2 linked regions of the Drosophila melanogaster genome follow. Changing the gene in region 1 together with any one later gene gives a genetic interaction. Each region holds a gene or a part of one and is shown in the gene's direction. Other genes may lie near its edges.

Region 1 (4,697 bases):
AGCGGAAACGGGTTCCGTCGAGCTTTTTTTTTCAGGGGCCCGTGCTGGAGCTATTTCAATATATTATTTATCTTCGGAGCCATTCGATGTGTCATATTCTCTTCTTTTCAGATAGAAAATCATAAACTCGTTTAAATGCTGTTAAGTGAAAGACCATTCGCTGTGCATTACAGCGCCATCTATGATTGGCTTTTACTTCAGCCGAAAAGTATGCTAAGACTTGCATGCTTTTAGTTTATGGTTCTTGTCTCGACTACGAAATATTCAAATAAATAAATCGTGGGAAATTCTTACGTACATCAATACAAATCCAATAGAAATTATTCCTGAAACCGTACAAATAGGTATACAAATATTTAACGATGTTTACATAATGTTATAGTAATTAAATTAATTAATTACTAATTTATCTTTCGATAGAAAGAGAACAAAAGTGTGCAGTAGAAGTGTAATTTTTAAAAAAACACTTAAATTTCTAAAATATTTTTCACAATTATATCAATTTGCCGAAATAAAAGTATAATTCAGAAATATCTAGAATGCACAATAGGCAAATTTAGTTAAGATATGAATTTTTAAATAAATGGTGAGCCCAATCAATTCAGTGGTTGAATGACTTTTCATAAATTAAAAAATAAAGATAAGAATGGTGAACAATTCTGTTCGCAGCCACTAACCTCTTGCTCAATACACGATGTCAATCAAGGCAATTACCAAATAAAACGCTTTGGGAATGCCACCAATTCACTTCCGAGCAATCAGATCCTATCTTTAGACCAACCGCATTCGATTATTCATGTGGGCAAGCAATAAAAACGTAAATAGAAAGAAGTAAAAAATAATTAAATCTACATAAAAGGATAAATACAGTTCGATTGAGAAAATACATTTTCGCTCGGTCTGGCTGGCAATGGTTGGTTAATTGCACTGATAAATGGTCGGCACGGTGATTTCGCATCTTCGGGATTGCATCGGCGCCGCAATGCAAAGTGCAGCAGCATTCTGTAGAATGCGATTGCAAATGTGGATGCAGCTTCCTCGAGCACCGCGCGCGGAGATCTCGATCAACCTTGATGTTGATTTATAGGTGCCGCTCTGCTTGGCGCGTCTATTTTAGATTCGCCTCGCTGCGTGCCCGTTGAAATGTCCCATTCTCCCAGTCCCTGCCGCGGATGCCAATTGTCTTGCGTCGGTCCTTCTAAGGTCCGTTTCTATTTTCCGAACTCTCAGCACCGAATGAGTCGTCCGCCGCAGCAGTCGCCCATTGGCAGCAGGATTGGGACAGAGATGGGGACGGAGATGGGGCTAATTGGCCACTCGAGAGTGCTGATTGCCGTTTAGATGGCCCATGCTCCGACTATCACGCACCTCTGCTAATCACTCGGCTATGGCGTTCTCTTATCTTTCGAGAGCTTTCTCTCTCCTGGCACTCCCTACAAATAATGAATAGGGTCCTAAGATTGATAGCTTACTTCTATCATATATTGTCAATTAATTAAATATTTCTAGGATTAAATATGAACTGAATTGAAGATAAAGTTTATCTTCTACTACATAGTTATTTAAGCTGTTATATGTTATGAGACCCTTTTCTAGGATTTGTACCTACTAACAATGTGAAAAAAATATAAAATGTCATATTTTCGTAGTTTGGAAATTCCCTCGTTTATTGAATTTATTGGTAATCTTAATAAATGATTCTATGCTTTATTAAGTATTTAATTGTGTGGCTTCCTTTTTTTGTGAAGCGCATTAATGAGTCGTCTTCGTGCAATGAGGCATCCAAACTTCTGACATGCTCGGCCAGAAGTCTGAAAACTGCTTATATGGATCGATTGTTCCGCAGCACTTTCGCTCAATCTTTTTCTCAGTGCCGCACTGGCATCCAACTCAAATCGCTTCGAGGGAGAGCCGAGATATAAAGGCAGGACAGACCGATCGGCGTGCCATTTGTTGTTGAATCTAGTTGTCAACAGGAATCGAACGTGCGACTCTATCCAATTTTTCTCCTTTCGTTGACCTAAAAGGTGTGTGAGTGCGACCTCAATGTCGAAGGATCCAAGGATTATTACAGAAAAAGCCAAGAGGACTAAGGATATTAAAACTCTTTTTAATAAGTTCGGATTGTTTGATGGATTTTTCTACAAGTCACTAATCGGTCTTCGAAAGTTCAATATCTAAATATAAAGTGAAGAGTAATTGCAACGAAACGTATTTTCAATTAATTTGATACGTTTAAATTAAGTTCTATGAACTATTCTTTTCCGATATTTATAGAGCACTGATTTAGTTTCAAGTGAATAACCATATTAGCATGAGTCAAAAGGAAATGGAATATACCAATTTTGGCAATTTTTCATGGTTTTATTTACTGAAATGTGCTCAAATGGACAATAGAGTTTCACTTCACTTCTTCAATATCTTAAAAAGTTAAATATTTTCTTGAGACACAAATTAGTTTTCTATGTTGTCATTAAAGTAGTAGAATTTAAAGAATTGAGATGTAGGTGGGAGCTATAAAACTTTACATATATAATCGACAGATCGAGCTAACCGAGTGCACTTCCATCTCCCTTCCAGATAAACAACTGCCAAGATGTGTGACGATGATGCGGGTGCATTAGTTATCGACAACGGATCGGGCATGTGCAAAGCCGGCTTCGCCGGTGATGACGCTCCCCGTGCTGTCTTCCCCTCAATTGTGGGTCGTCCCCGACACCAGGGTGTGATGGTGGGTATGGGTCAGAAGGACTCGTACGTGGGCGACGAGGCGCAAAGCAAGCGCGGTATCCTGACGCTGAAGTACCCCATCGAGCACGGCATCATCACGAACTGGGACGACATGGAGAAGATCTGGCATCACACCTTCTACAACGAGCTGCGCGTGGCCCCCGAGGAGCATCCAGTATTATTGACCGAGGCTCCACTGAACCCCAAGGCCAATCGCGAGAAGATGACCCAGATCATGTTCGAGACCTTCAACTCGCCGGCCATGTACGTGGCCATCCAGGCCGTGCTCTCCCTGTACGCCTCCGGTCGTACCACCGGTATTGTGCTGGACTCCGGCGATGGTGTCTCCCACACCGTGCCCATCTATGAGGGCTTCGCCCTGCCCCACGCCATTCTGCGTCTGGATCTGGCTGGTCGCGATCTGACCGATTACCTGATGAAGATCCTGACGGAGCGCGGCTACAGCTTCACCACCACCGCCGAGCGTGAGATCGTGCGCGACATCAAGGAGAAGCTGTGCTACGTGGCTCTGGACTTCGAGCAGGAGATGGCCACCGCTGCCGCCTCCACCTCGCTGGAGAAGTCGTACGAGTTGCCTGACGGCCAGGTGATCACCATTGGCAACGAGCGCTTCCGCTGCCCCGAGGCTCTGTTCCAGCCCTCGTTCCTGGGCATGGAGTCGTGCGGCATCCACGAGACCGTCTACAACTCGATCATGAAGTGCGACGTGGACATCCGCAAGGATCTGTATGCCAACTCTGTGCTGTCCGGCGGTACCACCATGTACCCTGGTAAGACAAATCATTCGCTTCAGCAGTTGCACTTGTGCTTAATCCTTTGGTGCACTTTCAGGTATTGCCGATCGTATGCAGAAGGAGATCACTGCCCTGGCCCCATCGACCATCAAGATCAAGATCATTGCGCCACCCGAGAGGAAGTACTCCGTCTGGATCGGTGGCTCCATCCTGGCCTCGCTGTCCACCTTCCAGCAGATGTGGATCTCGAAGCAGGAGTACGACGAGTCCGGCCCCGGAATCGTTCACCGCAAATGCTTTTAAGTCTTTCGCCCGCCGCGAAAGCTCTTCAAAGGCAGCAACCAGCAGCGACCAACAAGCACCCATCGAGCTACCCAACAACCTCGGCTCGGACAGTGATAGACAAAAGCAGCGAACCCATCGCACAACAATTATCATCCAACTCAGATTCACAGCAGATAATCAGAGGCAACCTCCGGTTGTCGGTGCTCATCCTTCATGGCCATTTCATCGGCAGCGGTATAGCGGATTTTTACTTTGAAGAACTAATCGTAAGAGTCGTGGCTGTGCTCCATGTCGAGTAGCAATCAAATGTATATGAGGAGCTTTTAACCCTAGTCAGTGAATTGAAAGCCAAATATATCTTCCATTAAAACTATTAAATATTTTAAATAAATACATTTTTCTATTACCCGCCCCCCCCCCGTGTACTGAAAAGCCCTGGAGGTGCGAACCACGTTTGGTTGGTAACAGCTTTAAATTCCTTTTAATTGACATTAAATTAATTGTTAACATTGGTTTTGCATTAGCCTAGCTAGTTAAATGAAAATACAGCGAGGATACTTGGTACCGGGACTTAGGCGATTTGGGATACAATCGATTGAACGTTGAAAATCTGGCAGTGATAACAATCAATCAAGAGTGTTAATTCGATTTGATGAATAGTTTGGTTTGGCTTGTGCGATCGGGGGGTATCCTAAATAATATGAGTATTCGTTTTAGTTACACATACATTTGCTCCCAACTTCTCTCTCTCTCTCTTAACTAACTAATTGCGGAGCTAAGCTAATACAACTATTGTACAGACCGGCATTGCACTAGTTTAGCCGAGCTCTTCGTTTTCGGTGAGTGATGGATGGATGGATGCCCTAGGCTTGTTTCAGGGAATAATCGGAATAATTGTTGGGGATGGAGCAGAGGAAAGTGTAAGTA
Region 2 (3,880 bases), on another chromosome or scaffold:
TGGTATACTTTGGGCCAGAAACGCGAGTGCGAGTGTCAATGCAGTTTGAAATCGCCTTTCGCGATGAATATACGCCGAATAAATGGAATTTTTGGCACACGCATACGCCTGCGTGTCACGTGGGGAAAGCACGGCCCGCGCCTACAGTTTTTTTTCCTGCCCTTCCTCCCCAGCGTTCGTTCGGTGTTACGGCCTTTTTATTTTGCACATAATATTCACACCAAATCGGGTAAGGGGCTCCAGTGGGCTCCAGCAGGGGGTGGGGGAGGGTGGTCAGCAGGGAAAGGCTGGCACTTGGACACCAATATTCCACATCGTATACCAAACCAAGTGTATGCGTTTCGAGCGGGGGTTTCTTTGGCGATGGCTTGCTACACAACTTGCTACACACGTTTAACTCCCAGTGGACCTCGGGTTCTCGCTTACATAAATTGGCACTGTTTTTTTTTTTTTTTTTGGAGCGAGAATTCGAATGCGAATTAAAATGCATTAATATAACCGGCTCGCACTGCTCGAACCGCTCGATTTAAATAAAGTAGTTTGTTGTTTGTGTCCATATGTGCTTGCGTGTGTGCGAGTGGGCATGGCTTTGTCACATGGTCCACTTGGCCCCAACGTACAATGTCCTAGGAAAACGATTTGCTTGCTTGATTTTTATTCTCCACACAAATTCGCCCTAAATTGTTATTTTTGATATTTACATATGTACATATGTACGCAGGTGCGTATGTACATATGTACGCACATGCAGTGTATATGCACGCAAAATGGGCTAAAGTGTGTATGTAGCTCGATTCACACGGGATTTTCGCCGCCTCGGCGGGAGGTGGGTGCGGTTATTACCTGAACGAAAATGACACATTGATTTTAGGCACATTTCTGCTACCCGCTAGGCTAAACAAAATCACTTTTCGCAAATGCAATAAACTTATTCGACCAAAACACAATCAATACAACAAATTTAGGGGTGGCTTAAATCGAGGCGATATATATACGAGCGCCTTATCGATGTGTGCTGCTGGTTTTCGCTTTTGATGTATCGATAAGTTAGGGCGATTGTTTTCACGCCGTTTAAACAAAATTGTTTTTAAATTAATTTCGGGGCTTTTAAGAAAATTATAAGCATGTATTTAAGCAAGAATACCAATACGGTTAGAGTATTAGTTAGATCGTAGATATAACCTATATAAATAAATTTATGAAGTGTTCCACTTTCGTCGTTCCCGTGATAGAGTAACGGTTCCTTTTTAAATAATTAAAATTCTTATTGGATTCATGATGAAACCAAAAAAATTTTAAAATAACAAATTTAACAATTACGGTGCGGATTTCTTATGTGAACATTTATCAACTAGGATTCATAATCTTTAGGCTTATTCTGGAAAAAGTTAACAAGTGTTGTAACTATTTAAAATTAAGTCCGTATAAATGAGCAAATTGTTGAAATCGATCAAATTGAGCTTAAAAGATTTATTTGACTACTTAAATTTGAATCTGCTTACTAACTTTTTCATTGTTCCGGAACTTTTGATGCTGAAATGTGAAACTATTTAGTACATAGGTGTTAATAGCGTTTCGGCCAATTAAATTTAGTATGTGAGTACGCATGCCAACCTTTGTATATAGATGTTGCTTCTCGATATATTTAGATTAAGTTTTCTAAGTGCATTTGTTTCGAGCAGCAGTTCGATCATTTAGTCTTTTTTCCTTTATATCAGTATAAACACTATAGTAAAGGTACGGTCCCTAATTTTTCAGTGGACCCAATGTCCTAGTTTTAGCTGCTAGAAAATCAATGTGAATCCCTTGAACGTCTATTAATAAGTCTATGATAAAAAGTCCTTTGGAAAGATAACAGTGATATGAGTGGTTTAAGAGATGAATCTATACAATTCAATCGATGAATGATGTAACTCATTATATGTAGATTATAATGCATTGAACCATTTAAATCGTCCTGAATTCGAAAGGTCTAAGAACGCCAGCTATTTGGGCGTCCTGAATTCCAAACATTTCCGATCAACTGCGAAAAAGGTTGTTTTAAGAACAAAATTGAAATTTAGGTTGTGTTGCAATGTTATGCAACGTTAAAAGGCCAACGTTTATAAAAAATAAGAAGACAGTGAATTTGTTAAAGTATCTTATTGTGATATAATAATATGATGATGGCTTACGTTACCTAGAGATCGAATATTGAAAGTGAATCTGTCTATGATAGATATATAATAATATTGAAAGGATTCCGTTTCAGTAATATGGCAGACGAAGAAGATCCATGGGGTTTCGACGACGGCGGCGAGGAGGAGAAGGCGGCATCCACCCAGGCGGGCACTCCGGCCCCACCCTCAAAAGCACCGAGTGTGGCATCCGATCACAAGGCTGATAGCGTCGTGGCTGGCACTCCGGCCAACGAGGAGGCTGCTCCGGAAGAGGTAGAAGAAATCAAAGCACCGCCGCCTCCGCCAGAAGACGATGGTTACAGGAAACCGGTGCAGCTCTACCGCCACTGGGTCAGGTTGGTCCTCCACTGTACTGTACAGCACTGTACCGTACTGTATCTTATGCAATCTGCACTTTTCAGGCCGAAGTTTCTGCAATACAAATACATGTACAACTACAGAACCAACTATTACGATGATGTAATTGACTATATCGACAAAAAACAAACTGGAGTGGCCCGGGAAATACCAAGACCACAGACGTGGGCGGAACGTGTCCTGCGCACACGGAATATCAGGTGGAGTAGCTAATCCGGTTTGTGTAAATATAGTAGTTGTTAATATTTGTTATCCACCTCAGTGGCAGTGACATTGATTCGTATGCACCGGCAAAGAGGGACAAACAACTAATTCAAACACTGGCGGCCTCGATAAGAACTTATAATTACCACACCAAGGCATATATCAACCAAAGGTATGCCAGTGTCCTTTAGTAAGCGCACCTAAATGTACCAATAGAACCGTCGGACGAACGGATGAGCACTCGTAGTTATATAAAGGGTAACCACCCATTGTCAAAAGATCCATACGTACATATGTGTATAGTCAGTCAGTAAGCGTTTGCATATCTGCGCATCTCAAAACTCTGTATCCTGAATCTGCCTTATGGAGTGGAGACCTTTCAAGAAAACGAATATTGTATATTTTTTCTTACATGCGTAATTTCTGTTAATATATTGCCATATGTACTTATTCATATATATTAACACAACTTACCTCTCAATACATGGTATTTTTAAGGTTATTTACTTCATTTTTAGCAAAGTGAGTAAATAAAACAAACCTATTTATATTGTAAAGCTTAAAATAAAAACTGTGCAATAAATAAAACTAAATAAACATTGATGTTTTTCCTATTCAAATATGACGGCAGGTATGAGGTATTCAAAAACTAGTGCTTAAAGAAATCCCCATGGGCATTTAAAAACTTTAACTTCATAGTCAAGCGCATGAGAAATCCATTTTTTATTATAATTTAAAACAAGATGAACGAAACGTTAAAACCCACTTTGGTGGACTGACTGGTGAGTACTGCCCTCCATGAACGAGTAAGGAAAATCAGAGTAGTCCAAAGTCCCCATAAAGTGTCTATTTGCATAAATCACAAGTGCAACCCCTCTAATAACACACAATAGGGTAAATTAGGCTATTGTGTGCGTTTGAATTAGTACAAGTACATTTTAGAGTGAACTAATCGCAAACTAAATTAAATTATATTATTAAATCACAAAAGAACTCAAAATAGAAAAGGATCACGATCATGAAAAATACTTTAAATATATTCTGTTTTTTCAATATTTTGTGTACTTATGTTATACTTACTGGCTCACCCTAATACATATATCTTATATGGGCGCCACGATTTTTCTTTTTATTTAAAT

What was found. A genetic interaction does not mean that the proteins touch.
Region 2: of Act88F (region 1) and fln, changing one suppresses a phenotype caused by changing the other (phenotypic suppression), as found in Drosophila melanogaster (one study listed by BioGRID).

What each region holds. Positions count from the first base shown.
Region 1 is NT_033777.3:15,438,020-15,442,716, forward strand, and holds Act88F (actin 88F), read left to right. Parts: upstream 1-1,949; 5' UTR 1,950-2,027; intron 2,028-2,580; 5' UTR 2,581-2,596; coding exon 2,597-3,521; intron 3,522-3,582; coding exon 3,583-3,788; 3' UTR 3,789-4,158; downstream 4,159-4,697.
Region 2 is NT_037436.4:19,989,006-19,992,885, reverse strand, and holds fln (flightin), read left to right. Parts: upstream 1-1,665; 5' UTR 1,666-1,737; intron 1,738-1,762; exon of another isoform or gene 1,763-2,034; intron 2,035-2,146; exon of another isoform or gene 2,147-2,251; 5' UTR 2,252-2,255; coding exon 2,256-2,515; exon of another isoform or gene 2,516-2,581; coding exon 2,582-2,737; exon of another isoform or gene 2,738-2,799; coding exon 2,800-2,932; 3' UTR 2,933-3,335; downstream 3,336-3,880. UniProt on the Drosophila melanogaster protein: Possibly involved in the regulation of flight muscles contraction, possibly by modulating actin-myosin interaction.